3 linked regions of the Drosophila melanogaster genome follow. The protein of the gene in region 2 interacts with the protein of the main gene of each other region in a pairwise test. Each region holds a gene or a part of one and is shown on either strand. Other genes may lie near its edges.

What was found.
Region 1: the proteins of Ser8 (region 2) and Cln7 interact in a two-hybrid assay, tested with the Drosophila melanogaster proteins (one large-scale study listed by BioGRID).
Region 3: the proteins of Ser8 (region 2) and CG1636 interact in a two-hybrid assay, tested with the Drosophila melanogaster proteins (one large-scale study listed by BioGRID).

Annotation. Positions count from the first base shown.
Region 1 is NT_037436.4:7,341,384-7,346,789, reverse strand, and holds Cln7 (Cln7), read left to right. Parts: upstream 1-1,606; 5' UTR 1,607-1,660; intron 1,661-2,405; exon of another isoform or gene 2,406-2,698; intron 2,699-2,844; 5' UTR 2,845-2,930; coding exon 2,931-3,122; intron 3,123-3,179; coding exon 3,180-3,686; intron 3,687-3,746; coding exon 3,747-3,898; intron 3,899-3,957; coding exon 3,958-4,554; intron 4,555-4,619; coding exon 4,620-4,812; 3' UTR 4,813-4,906; downstream 4,907-5,406. Other genes in the region: CG14834 (uncharacterized protein), read left to right, coding at 1-968; lark, read right to left, coding at 5,320-5,406.
Region 2 is NT_033778.4:13,432,018-13,435,953, reverse strand, and holds Ser8 (Ser8), read right to left. Parts: upstream 1,748-3,936; 5' UTR 1,743-1,747; coding exon 960-1,742; 3' UTR 909-959; downstream 1-908. Other genes in the region: CG30065 (uncharacterized protein), read right to left, coding at 2,506-2,553, 2,614-2,817.
Region 3 is NC_004354.4:8,271,395-8,276,701, reverse strand, and holds CG1636 (uncharacterized protein), read right to left. Parts: upstream 3,291-5,307; 5' UTR 3,155-3,290; coding exon 2,948-3,154; exon of another isoform or gene 2,896-2,947; intron 2,423-2,895; coding exon 2,076-2,422; intron 1,994-2,075; coding exon 1,494-1,993; intron 1,435-1,493; coding exon 1,340-1,434; 3' UTR 501-1,339; downstream 1-500. Other genes in the region: CG15343 (uncharacterized protein), read left to right, coding at 3,495-4,009, 4,081-4,207; CG1632 (uncharacterized protein), read right to left, coding at 4,583-4,762.

The DNA.
Region 1 (5,406 bases), on a different chromosome or scaffold from region 2:
ATGACGACCAATCCGATACTGAGTGCATTCGCACCATGCAGATGAATGCCAAGACGTTGAATCTACCATTCGAAATCGTCATCCAGGGACCGAGCAGCAATCGCTTTGTGCGCAACGCACAGCAGTTCGAGCAGAAGCGAGATCTGGTGGCCAGGAGCGCCAGCACTTCAATGCAGTCGCCTCGAAATCGTCGCTCAAACATAACCATCTACAAGCCCTCCACAAAGTTGGTCATTCAACGTACGGCCAATGGCTTAGAAACGCCATCCAAGGCTTCGGAGCAGATAAGGCACAAGAGGTCCGTCGATCACCTGGAGTGGTTCAATGACTTTGCCAGTTCCTTGGTGCGTCCCTCGCCACTGGGCACTAGAGCCCAGAAGCAGCAGCGTGCATCAGCCAAGCCATCGGCATTCAAGCGTCAGGCTGAGCTGGAGGAGCCGGCTCGTCGGGAACCATGGTTCCTGGAGCAGTCAGCTTCGCGACTGACTCGCCCCGCTCCACTTAAGAAGGATGCACTCTCGCGGAAGAACAAGAAGAGTCCTTTGTTCCGAAAGAGCGCCAAGAGCAAGGCGTCCAAGGAGCAGTCGCGCAAGCAACCGGAGCGAGAGATTCGGCCACTCCGCGATGCCTTGCAGGTGGTGGAGCGGATACCCAAGGTGCTTCAAGATACGGTCAGTCATCTGTCCTCCGATCCACGCACTGGGGATGTCTTTAGCCTGAATATTAGAAACGAGGATGTGCCGCAGAAAAAGGATCGCCAGCCTGAGGATCGTGTGCCACGCAGGCCTAGCGCCACCTTCCGTGGTTTCCGGCGCAATGAGATCATCCCCGAAGCCGTCACCCTGGCTGCCCCAATGGACCTTGCCCCACGAGCTCCACTTCCCGGCCAGCGTCCAGGTGGACTCCTGCTGCCCTGGCTGAGGCAGCGGCGACTGATGCGTTTGCAGCAGGCACAGGGAAATCTGTAGACCCAACATACCCAATTTACTTTCACTTTTATTATTATAATCATTTGTTGTATATTTATAAGGCATTTTGGTCTCTCAAAAATAAATATAAATTTGCACATTATAGTGTTCTGCAGTAGCAGCGAAGATAGAAGCGTTCGAAATTAAAGTATCTGAAGTAGTAAGATCTTTATGTACCTGTAACAATATGAAGGCGTTCTTAAAGATCGTTTTCCAATGAGTCATTATAGTATTCACACACGCAGGTAGAAGTTTGGTAGGTTAGACAGGTTTCTATAGAACTCCATTCTTCAGTTTCCCTATTATTTCAATTGGATCTCGAATCGAATCTCAAAGATACATCTATTCTACTGATGATCTAGTATAATAATGATAATTTGAAGAAGGAGTATTGGTGTTACATGGATTGTGGATTGATAACAAGTTACTATACTATGCTTAGGAATATTTTGCCTGAATAGAAAACCCTTGCGATCTATCTTACAGATGCCATAGATTTCGGAGTATCTAAGTAGCATACTTTCGGGCGCGGGTGCTATCTGCCGTTGGCTCCTCTCTCTCTTCGGGCAGCTCCATCACGCTCTGTGGCGACGCGTCGTCCGATTTGTTGGCAACAGGCGCTGCCGCGTCAGTTCAGTTCAGTCCGTCGCGTTCGTTCATCTCCAGTGGTCGTCGCTGTTCCGCTGCAACAGGTAGTTAAAAAGACATAGCCCGATTGGTAAAAGGTGCATTACCCGCTGGAAGCCCCACAAATAGGATGCGCGCGGTAGGGGGGTGCCCTTGAGTTCTAGATGCACAGAAAGATACATGCACGCAGATACAGATACAGATACAGATATAGCCATTGGCAGAGGGAGAAAAGCGCTTTCTTTGCGTTTGGTTAAATATTACAAAAATCGAGTGAGAGGAAGCGGGAGAGCGAGAGTGAGACAAAGAAAGAGTAATTTAAAAAAAAACAAAGAGTGCATGTTTCCATTTAATTTACATAGTTTTGCTTCAGTGTGTGACGAAAAACAAAATACAACTTAGTAAGCTAAGTAATTTGAAAATCAAAGCAAGGAGTGCAAAGGCAAAGTAGCTTAACGAAAAAAACAATAGGCAGCCAAAGATCAACGGTCGCTATCTCATATCTAGTATCTTGTATCTGAAAGATGTGTGTGTGTGTGTTTGGGTACTTCGAGAACGAGAATCTGGCGCTCAACTAAAAAAAAAAAGAAAAAAAAAAAACCAACTGCATCAATTGGCAATTGGTATAATCAATTAGAAATTGATTTGCGACGGAGTGATCTTCAACCAGTGATGATTTGATTGATGTAGGAAGTGGACAAGTCTGATTGATATGGCTAATCGCTGCACTTGTTGCACTATCGAAAACTAAAGTTATAACAAAATGTTTTTATTTCGTACCCTGTACTGGGGCGAATCAATTTCTTTTGCTCTGATAAATGAAATCATGTAATAAACTGACGTTCTGTACGAACCTTATCATGCCATATAAACAAAAACAATGGCATACTCACAGTGATAGTGGCTCTTACTAAAGAAAAACGACATACAGACACCCGCACATGGCAACGAATAACTACAAACAGCTTTATTTCGGCACCGATTGCCTTTATCTTCCGCAATTTGTGTGATAAGTTCAGCAAACTGTTTTCCATATCTGTGGTTTTTTCGGAGGAGGATAATCACGCGACGTCTGGCAGATAATCCACTCCATCCATATTCAAGTAATTGAAGGCACCGCCGATTAGAGACATACTCTACTCTGAATCATTAATAGTTACAAGACTTTAAAAGCGTGTCTAACAACTGACACATCGATTCACAAAAAGCTCCATAAAGAAAAAAAAAACTCATTCGAATCCATTTACAGAATGACTCAGTGGCGGTGAAATCCAGCAAACACACATCCATCGCAGCCAACCAACCCATCAAACATCACAGCCAAGCAAACCAATTATGGAGTTTGCCCGCCGAGTTTCCGCTCGCTTTGAAACCAAAAGACTGCCGGAGGATGTGGACGATGGCCTGGAGACGCTGGAGGAGTACAAGCAGCGCTGGCGCTCCGTCCGCATCATCTACTTTACGATGTTTCTGATGGCGCTTGGCTTCAGCATCATACTCACAGGCATTTGGCCCTACCTCAACAAGGTGCGTACCCATTTTGGTCACGCTATCCAGCTGCTTTTCAATCTCATCTCTCTTCAGCTAGATCCCGATGCGGGCAAGGAGTTTATGGGACTGATTGTGGCCGCCAATCCGCTGGGACAAATGATCTTCAGTCCGATCTTTGGGTGGTGGGGCAACAAGCTGGGCAAGATTCGTCTGCCACTGCTGCTATCGCTGTCTCTATTCACGCTGGCCAGTGGCATATACTCCTCGCTGGAACTGCGTCCGGACAATGTGAAGTACTGGATGCTCTCCTCGCGGTTCCTCATCGGTGTCAGCTCGGCGAATATTGCCCTGTGCCGCTCCTATTTGTCCGCTGCGACACGAATCAGCGAACGCACACATGCCGTTGCAATGGTTTCGCTGGCACAGGTCCTTGGATTCATCATTGGTCCAACTCTGCAGGCGGCAGTCACACCGCTGGGAGATCAGGGACACGTCTGGCTGTGGGGCAAGATGCACTTCAACATGTACACGGCATCCGGATGGATCAATGTGCTGATGAGCATTGGAAACTTCATGATGTTCCTGCCCGGAGTGTTTGAGGTGAGTGGCCAGGTTACTTGGTTCGCTCTAAAGTGTCATTAAATTTGAACACTCCTTCAGGAGCACAAAATTGCAGCTCGCGAGGTGATGGTGATGCAGGGCGGCACATCCGAGAAGGAGACTTGGAAAGGCATCAAGCCCAGCTATTTATCCGCATGGACTTTGATCGTCGCCTTCTTTGTTCTGGTATTCAACTTTGTGCTGTTGGAGACGTGAGTAATCCTCAGAGTGGGTTTTTTTTTTTTTAAACTATTGCTTCCTCGCCTTGCAGTCTGGGCACATCCCTGACAATGGATATGTTCGCTTGGTCCAACGACGAGGCCCTATGGTACATGGGCATCATGATGACCACCGCAGCTATTGTCTCCCTGGTCACGTTCGTTTTGATTGAGCCCATGTGCAAGATTATAGCCGAGCGTTATGTGCTCATCTGGGGCGGATTCTCGCTGATGTTTCTCGGTCGCGTGCTCTTCGTGCCTTGGGGTCCGGATCCGCCAAAGTTGGCGCAGCCATTCAATGCCAGCTGGAACCTAAGCGAAAGCGATCCCATCTTCTTGGGCTGCCCCACAACGCAGAAATGGTGCGGCGAACTGCCGGCCTTGACCTTAACGCAGTTCATCATTGGATTTGCCTTCACATCGATAGGATATCCCATTGGGGTGACTCTCATCCAGACCATATTCTCCAAAGTTCTGGGACCTCGGCCGCAGGGCGTCTGGATGGGCTGGATGACCGGTTCGGGTTGTCTGTCCCGCGTCCTTGGTCCAGTCTTCGTGGGATCCATCTACACGCGCCTAGGTACGTTCTGGACCTTCGGCGTTACTTCGGCCATGATGCTGGTCTCCATGTTTTGGCTACAGTGCAGCAAGTAAGCTGAAATACTATTCGTTTTTAAGGCGGTTCCCCACAATAAATAACATGTTATCTTTTCAGTCGATTACTAATCCCGCCAACATTCGAAAAGACCACACCTGTCGAGCTGAAAGAACTGAACAAGCACAATGGTAGCAAGCTGCTGGACGACCACTCACCGGACACGCACAATGGTAGCCCACCGGAAGATCTGTCTCCTGATCAGCCCATTTTGGGCAAGCACGGCAGCCAGCACTCGATTTCACATGCGTAACGACGGCTGGCTATGGAGCATCCGTAGATCTAAGACACATCGTTGCAATACTGCCCCTTAAACTAGCTTTAAAATACAGTGTTTATTTTTGCACAGTTTCGACTGATTATGCGTTTATTGGTACTACGGTTGAATGTGTAGAGGTTGCACGTCGTTGTCTAGTTCTTTTTTTTTTTTGGCGTGTTTTGCATATAGGGAGGATGCTTAAACACGTATTTCCATCTTCTTGTTTAAGTGTACGAGTAATGGTTAGTTTGGGTTTAGTAACATGTATGTGGTTTACCAAGGCGGCAGCCACAGTTGTGAAATTGTCGTCGGCATCAGCATGTGCTGCTGGTGTGCTTGGTGGTGATGGTAGTAGGCCGCCGCTGGCGACCAGCAGAGCAGCCAGCAGTCCACAGGCGCCGTTCTTCGATTGCTGGTCGTGTGGTAGAATGTGTGACCCATTGGCAGGGGCATGGGTAGTGCAACCGCTACTCAGCTGCTGCCGTGATAGTAAAACTCATCTCAGTAGGGCGCATATCTGCGACCCGGCGGCGATGGACCGCGCATTCCGCGCGACGAAATCATGCGTTCGTCGAATGCATCGCGACT
Region 2 (3,936 bases):
CCGTACACTTTCGATTGGCCTTTTCAATATGCGCAAACATATGCTGTGCTGATTTTCTAGATGTGCAGCGTGTGGAAGGTCAAGGGAGTTTTCGGTTCCACTTAACTACTTAAAGTATGGCGCGCTTTTGTCAGTTGATATACAATATATTGTTATGAAAAATTATAGCCTGTTTTTAGTATAATTAATAATTTACAACAGTTTTTTTTTTTTTGTACATTGTGCACCAACTTTTCCGCTGATATACAATTAAAAAAGCTTTAAAAGAGCAATTACAAAAAGTAAACAGAATGTTTGCACGTCATTGACAGGCACTTTTGCATTCAAAATTTATTGTTAGCCATAAATTGGTTATTTAAATGACGACAATCAAAAGTTGTAAAACGCTTAAACCGATTAGAAACAATAGAGATAGCAAATTTTAAGTGCACATGCAGTGCATAAACGGGAACTCAAAGGAATTTCAAACTAAACTATCAGTGAGGAAGTTAAACCATTAGCAAAAAAAAAATGTTCCAGCAAATGAACTAAAAAAATTTGAATATTTAAATAAATGGCATACATAACTTTAATTTTTAGTAATACAAAAGCGTGTAAATGGAATAGACAGAGATTTTACATGTCATTCGCAGCCATGTCACAGATATGTCACCCGACTTTAGTATGCAAACGCTGTAACTGGCTTACCATGGGCTTGCCGCCCCTGTGCCCCGCCAGAATTGAAGGCCCCACCCGGCAGCCAACCCCTGTGGACTGACCCAGATTGCATGAGCCAAACGAGCGGCGTGGCCCACAGGAAGGGCACGTCCTGCTGCCGCATGTATGGCTCTGGGGACTGGATTCAGAAGTCACTGCTGTTGAGCAGTAAATGAGCGGAAGCAGCAGTTGAAATAAAAGCCCTGCCAGCTGCAGTTTAACTATACGTACTATGAGTGCGATTTTATTGTGCTTAACTAAAGCTAGACAGTCTTCTGGGCCTGAAGGACCCAATCTCTCAGTTCGGCAATGTTGGCATACACGCCGGGATAATTGGCGACGGCGCAATCTCGTCCCCAGGAGACGACGCCCACCAGTTGGCCTCCGGATACCAGAGGTCCACCAGAATCACCCTGGCATGCATCCTTGTTCGTCGCCGCTGCACAGATCATGGTTGCTTTGATGAAGGAACCATATCCGTAAGTGGAACTGCCACACTGCGAACGGCCCACAATTCTCGTGTCCACAAAGAGCAGCGTCGCTGACGAGGGGCCATCGGTGGAGGTCTTGCCCCAGCCTGAGATGCTAGCTGCTGATCCGTGAGCCGGCGTCGCACTGGCCATCGTAATGGCCTTGATGGTCGAGCCAAAGGTCAGCTTAGTCTTCAGACGCACCACTCCAATGTCGTTAATCTTGCTGTTGGAGTTGTATGCCTCATGTGCCTTGATGGCAGCCACCTCGACGAGAACGCCACCATAGGTTCGCTTATTGGAGCCAGCCCTTATCCGGAGATTGGAGACCGTGGTCGGAGTGTCCAGGCAATGGGCGGCGGTCACGATGATGTTGTTGCTGATGATGGATCCACCGCAGAAATGACTTCCGGAACGCTGCAGAGAAACCTGCCAGGGACGATCCTCAATGGAAGAGGCTGTGCCTCCAACAATCCGGCCACCTAGCGATGATGTTTGTGGTTCCAGGCCAATGGGAATGACTGCGCCATTCGTGAGGGCCAGCAGGGCTAAGAAAGTTGCTATTAGTAGGGACATGTTTGCGGTTCAACCTTGGATGGCTAACTAACTGCGATGGGTGGCCTTTTATAGCCACAGATTGGGCATTGCCCGCGTGCGGATAAGGTTGTCAAATGACACGGCCATATTTCATTCGTATCAATCGCTGATTACCCAAAAGGCCCATCATCCGGCAATTGTCTCCAGGTGCTGGCAGGAGAATATGGGTGCTTTTAATTACCGACTGGTTATTGATTAGTTAGCCGTGAGATAGGTGGGATAGGTCAGTTGCTGGGCTTAGACTTATCGTAGGAATGCTTGTTTTGACGTCTTAATCTGGCTATAATCCATTCTCTGTTCTCTCCAGCTATTGACTGGGCCTTACCAATTGTAAATATTTCAAATACAGATTACTTCTTCCGTTCGGTGCGCAAAAAGCGTTGTAAATTGCATGACCACTTACGTGCTTTGAATGAGCATGAAGGCCAAAATAGACGTAACCACTCTGCACTAGCTTATGCTTTTAATATACGAACAAAAAATATAGAAATGTAGGTACAAATCATGAATAACTCATTGGTCATTTGCTCGACTTCGTTCCCCATCGCAGGACACGGAAAATGCATTAAAAACAACGGACAAGTCCACATCCGCTTCGCTGGCAGGACTCGGGCTCTCGTTTATTTGCCAATTAGGTTAAAAGTGTCACGTTCAGTTTAACAACTTCCGCCAGCGTTTCGTTCCTGTTCAGTATTGGTTCTTCAATATGGGCAATGTGGGTGGGCCGGAGTCATAAATTGGCCTAGTGCTTTGTAAAGCAAGTTTTCGACTCGGTCGGCATGCTCTGGCGCTGAAAAGCCCACAGACCGTATCAATGGGGAATTCATGTCTGTGGTGTTTCAGTACCTACCAAGTCGTTGTCGGACATAAGGCGCCTCTTCCAGCTGGTCAAAGTTTCCGAGTAGGTATAATACTCCACCATCCGGTTGAAGGTTACATGCTTCTTTGTCTTCGAGGACTCCTTACCGATGCCATCACCTGCTCCGTCCAATTCGATATCCTTCATGATTAGAATGGGCTTGAGCAACGAGCTCGATGGCTGCTCTTCCGACATGGCTTATATTGATATAAAAATATACAACTTTTTTAACCTGACTGAAATCTGGATTCAGGGATTGATAAGAACTAAATTTGACACTATATGTTTCAATGCTACTACGATAGTTTTCGTTTTTCGTTTTTCGTTTTCCTGCTAAAAATATGTCACGAATTTATATATTAATTTAATACAATGGCAAATGTATTTGTTACCATTTTATTTATTGGTCACGTATTTATATAGGTGAACCCAAAAGAGAGATCTTTCAAAAGTATACGCAAATATATATTTGATTATTTATTAATTTTGCATTGTTTGTCAAATCATTGCTAATTTCTGTGGGCTTAAAAAAATATTTGTCAGAAGTGGGATTCGAACCCACGCCCTCAAAGAGGACCAGAACGCTCATTCACAAACACTTTCGTTCAGAAAGTAAGATTTTCAATCTTGAGTCTGGCGCCTTAGACCGCTCGGCCATCCTGACACTTGATTCCGCAAACGCCCAAAATCTAGTGTCATAAAAGTATATACAAAATGGGGCGTTGAACCAATAAATTAGGATGTTCTCTGTTTGCCATTATATTGTCTAAAAGCATTTTCAACTCGTTGCGAAGATAAGATCGTTCAATAAACCGTTTAGCTTGATTGCCAAAGCAAATTAAGATACCTCACACGCGGAGAAGTTGGTCGGCTAAAGGGACGGGAAATTCAATCATCCTTGATGGTAAATTGAATTGACATTTCACTCAGCCGCCTTGCGAGAAATAGACCACGTTAGATCATCCTTGTCGGCTTTATGTGACATCATCGCAGGATACTCACTGTCCTAGCATGCACGGCATGAGATAACATTAGCAGCCGTCCATAATTGGGCTTCGCTTATCTAGGTTTGTACAAAAAGCTTGCGGGACACGTTCTCATCAAATCTATACTAACTTTTTAATTTTCAAAGTGCATTAGAAATGTAATAAAAAAAAAATTATTCTGGCCCATGAGGGGATCGAACCCGCGACCTTCGCGTTATTAGCACGACGCTCTAACCAACTGAGCTAATGGGCCATGTTTGTGTAGCTGCCAAAATGCGAGTTTTACCAAATAGCAATTCTATTAGATCTGTTAACAGTTGTATTTAAC
Region 3 (5,307 bases), on a different chromosome or scaffold from region 2:
TTAGTTTACAGACCTAATACGTAAATATGTTGTACAATTAAACAGTTCTAAAATCGATTCCGATTATGAAATGAGCAAATGAGAATTCATGTTGAGAACGTACGATTGCAAGGATATCAAAAACAAAGTTTCGAAGGAAGAAACGCGAAACCTAAAACCAAATGAGAAACCGAAATTTAACTAGAGAATTCTTTTCAAATATCAAATAAAGCAAGAACATTAATAATATAATATAATATTTCAGCCACGATGGGAGAGCTAAGAAGTGAATAAAACAAACGAATGCAACCAACCCAGTAACAACAACAACAACACACACACACATTTCAATTGCGCTCGTTTAGCCCATATATAGTATATTTCAATTAAAAGAACGAAAAAAAAAACAACACATTACAATATTTCAATATGTCATTAAGTCACAGCGAATAAACAACAACAATAAGTTGAAGGCGACTTACAAATCTAAACGAGAGAGAAACTGCGATCGTGTGTGCGAGGGAGAGAGAGAGAGAGAGAGTTGGTATAGAGATATAGTAACTATATGTATATATATCATCAGCGACGATCTCCGTTGGCGCCAAAAATCGAGCGATACTAACTAAATTTGCTAAGGTCTTTCAGCCGCTTGGTTTATGCGTGCTGTCTAAATCGTGATTGGTAGATATTACATTTAATATTGATCTAGAGTTTTTATAAATAATTGTTAACTAGTGACAACAGTGCGTCAATTGTTGTATTGCTCGCATCGAAACGCACTGTGGTTTATTATCGAATAAGTACTATTAGAACAGTGCGTTTGGCAACAGTCGAATTCGACGTTTTAAAGATATATAACATTATTTTAAATACTTCTAGGAGATTAATTTTGTAAGCCTCACTTTTCGATTTTTGCGTATATAGCCTTTGAGATTATCTGCACGTTTGATTTATCGTTTATATTCATGTTTTAATTTTGACAACCTTTAGTTGTTATGTTCTTAACGCGTATATTTGAATCGTTGAGATATTTAAATAATTTTTGATTAAAAGCTACCAACTGATATTTTTAAAGTCTTTACAACAAAAACGTTGACAAATTTACAAATTTTCAAGTGTTAAATATTCCTATTTTTTGATTACGATCTGAATGTTGGCCAAAACGCACTGTTCGCGCTGATCGCGTTCTAGCTAACACGCATAAACCGAAATCAGCCTGAGTGAGAGAGAGAGAGAGAGCGCTAGTTTCAACTTTGTGAGTTATTAGCCTAAGCTGAACTTGTGTCTTTTTTGGTTTGGTTTAAGGAAATGTGGTTTTCTACTGTGTAAAAGTGTGCTGCGTCCGTGCGGTAGGACGCGATTAGGTATCAATGGCCTGGTCATCGTTGTCATCCTCCGGCTCATGGCCACGTCCCTCGCGAATTCGCTTCAATTTGCGCTTAAGCATCATGACGCCTGCCAGGGAAAATGATTGTTAATCAGATATTCAACATCGGTTAGTGCAGGAAGCTTACATTTTATGGCCTGAAAGGTTTTGGCCGAGGCCGAACTGGTTTCGGAGGGCAGCGAATTGGACGTGGTTCTAATGTGTGCCAGCTTTACCTCCAAATAGGCCTTCTTCAGTGTCTTGTAGTGCCGGAACTCACTGGTGTCCTTGACCAGGATGCACTTAGCCGCCGATCCCTCGCCCGAACAATCCGACGGCGCTGTGTGATATATCTGATGGTAGAAGTATTGCAGCACCGGCGAGTTCCAAATGGAGAGGCCGTACCACAACCAAATGGGCACATTCAGGGAAAGCTTAAAGTTCTTGGCGAACAGCGTGGGTATGAAGTACTTAAAGGGCAGTAGGTTGACAAACACATACGCCCACACCATGATGCGCAGACCGAGGAAAACCTGGTAGATGATCCGGTGTGAATTGGTGCTGGGCAGGACCAACAGGGCTAGCACCTCGGTGAGTATGCTGTACAGACCCACCGTTAGATTCAGGCCCACAAAGTAGTTTTCGTACCTAAAAATAAAGAGTATTTAATATTTTCGAGCTTAAATGGCTCCAGGCTAGAATGGTAGGGACCAAACGTGTCTCGACTTGCCTGTAAACATCGATGGCGACGAGGGACAGCAGGTAGAGTCCCTTGGAGCCCACCTCCAGGAAGTCAGCGTCCTTGAAGTCCAACCACGCCCCATGCAGGTAGAACGTGATAATGAAGATCGAGTAGAACTGAAACTTTTCCGCCTGATGAGATCGATAGAAGATCAGGTTCTCCGAGGAGTAGAAGAGCGAGTAGCGTCCTTGGTTCTTCATCAGCTGCGGCAGGATCATGAACTCGTTGTAGAAGTGCAGGAACAGGCAGCTGGCCGCATAGAAGGCGATGTTCCAAATGACGCGGGCGAACAGCCTCCGCTGAAAGTGCTTCATGCTCGACGACTTCAGAAAGAACTGAAAAGGGAGAGGAGCAATTAGTCGAGCATTGGTCTTGGGTCACTACAGATAATGGTTTATATGGCTTATGGTCAGCGCCGATGGGTCGACTGTCACCGGACTTATGCTATCACCAAAGCCAGGAGCGAAGTGCCAACCGAATGGGGAAGGAAGTACATCTGAATCCCTTAAACAATGACTGTCGGGAGTAAAATCAATACTATCTTCGCCTTATATTGATTTTACAAGAGACAACATATTTAAATAATAATCATTTACAGCTTAGTTGCAAGCCAAAACAATACAAAAAGTGCCGCATTTCGTTGTGTTTTGAAGCTTTTCAAAGGGTTGGTAACAGTATTTTTAGCGCCCCACTCGGTTGGCACCCCGTCCACCCCCGGAATGCGCGAATCCGGCACCGTGTCCGCTCTGTTTATTTATAAACGGCAAATTGGCCGAGCAACCCCTCAAAAGAAAAGTGCAATTGGAGGCGCCGCGTCGAGGGTGCTGCGATTGAAAGGATTTGCCACGTGCTGGACCCACCTGGAAGAGCCGCTGGAAGGCGTAGTAGCCGCAAGACAACGCCACGAATATCCAAAAGACCCCGTTGATCAGGTAATAGAGGTCTATGTCCCGCACCATCGAATCGAAGCGGTCGTTGGTGATCAGGTATTTCAGCGGCAGAAAGAAGTTGCTGATCTCCGCCCAGTAGTCGGGCGGACCGGCCTTCATGTCCAGAATGGAGGTCATGCTGCTCCTCGGCGGGATTTCCCGTTCTGCCGCCCCAGAATCGCGAGTTGGTGTTCCTCGTTTTCAGCCGAAAATTGGGAGAATTTGTTTCGTTTCTATGTATCGATAGTAACCGATAGCTTCGCAAATATAACGTGAAATCAACGGCTATCGATTATAGAACCGCTGCAAAGTACTGCGCTTCTGTTACAGTGCTGTTAGCGTTAACAGCGCGCAAAGTGCGCCAAATTTGAATGACAGTACATTACTTCAGTTATAAGGGGCTTTACCAATTAACATTAAATGTGTATTACATTTTCAAAATGTATAAGAATATTTTTCGCTTCAAGGACCCACCAATATGACCTCCTCTTTGGCCAAAATCGAGGACTTTCCCTCCGATCCCGTTGAATTTTTTAAGGAGATCCTTCAGGAAGCTGCCAAGGGACATCCCGATGGATTCATACAGGAAATGAACCTGGCCACCGTGGACGAGGAATTCGGTGTGCTCAACCGCACTGTTCTGTACCGCGGACTCACCCAGGATAACTGTGTGTTCTACATCACCCATCGGTACGTTCGCAACTTCAAGAACCTTCAGGCCAATCCCAAGGCCTGCATCACCTTCTATATGCCAGATGTTAAGGATAAGGCCGGAAATCAGAATGCCTGGCAGGTGAGATTGATTGGAGCCACCGCCGTGGAACTTGACCAAAGCGAAATGGATGCTTTGTGGGCGAAGGAGAATTTGGCTGCCCAAATCAGGGGTCACATCTGTCCCTGTGGAGAACCGATTAACTACGATGATCTCAAGGCAAAGCACGATCAGTTCCTTCTGGATCACAGAGGAAAATCCATCGAGAGACCAGCAAGCTAGTGAGTTTCGAAGTTTATATGTATATCTATATTTAGTAAATTAACATATACATAATTACAACTTCTTCTAGTACCGCTTGGAAATTCCAACCGCAGCGTTGGGACTTCCTGAAGGTGGGTCTCGACCAAATCGCAGACCGGGTGCAGTACCGCCTTCAGAAGGATGGGAAATGGAAATCCATGCACGTGTCCACCTAATTGTGGTATACCCCCAGTAAAGCCATTATCTTGATTTTGGACGATTTCATTTTATTCAACAATATCTTTCTACAAACAGCTAAACGTACAGACTAACAACTAAATTTGCTTCCTTTTCGACATGTTTAACATACAATTACAACATAGTTAATAAATATTACACAAAACAGCAAAAAAAAGGACGTTTAAAGAATACAGTTAGCATAGAGTTACATAGGTTCGAGTAACATTAGAGCAGGTTAGTTACATAGTACATATGCTTAATTGCCTTACTTGCTTTGCTACACACACACATAATACCCAGTGAGTTTCGGTTCCGTTTTCTACACAAATGCGCTGAGGGGCGTGCCGCCGCCCCCTGGTGAACTATCCCGACTATATCGCGCTGATCGTCTCGCGGATCCAGGCGGCATTCGAGGCGATCTTGTCGTACATCCTGGGCCGCTCCACGCCCGTGGGTCCGCACGCGATCCGCCAGGAGGAGACCCCAATGAGCGCCCACTGATTCGTTCCGGGAATCAGGCACTGGACAGGCGCTCCCGAATACTCCTCTTGCTGAAAATGAACAATATGAAATTCAAAATATAATAATAAAATATAATTTTGGTCCACTCTAAAAAATGATATATAGTTTAAATTTTGGTTGCCAACAGTTTCTGTCCACTTTCAAATTAAATATTTTAAAAATAATTTTGTAATATTATAATAGGATCCACTCTGTTTTTTCAATATTTCACCATTGAATTAAACTCGTGCCACCCCAATTGGCGATCGTGACGTCACACGCACGCGACATGCAGCAACGCGCTTGGCGTAGAGCAACAAAAACAAGCAGTCGAAGCAATAACAAAGTTGAATGAGTAATTTTTGCTTCTCTTTTTTACTCTCTCCAATTGCCATTCAATGTGAGCACGAGCGAACACACATAAGCAACCCCCGTTACCTGCGAAGGTTTACCTAGGATAGCAGAAACAACAACTATGAGTGCAGCTGCAGGCAGATAAAAGGAAAAAGGGAGATAGCAAGAAGAAGCAAGGGACACCGCAATAACAAAAAAAAACACATAAAACAGAGTGCCAACTGTTGGCTTGCATTCATTC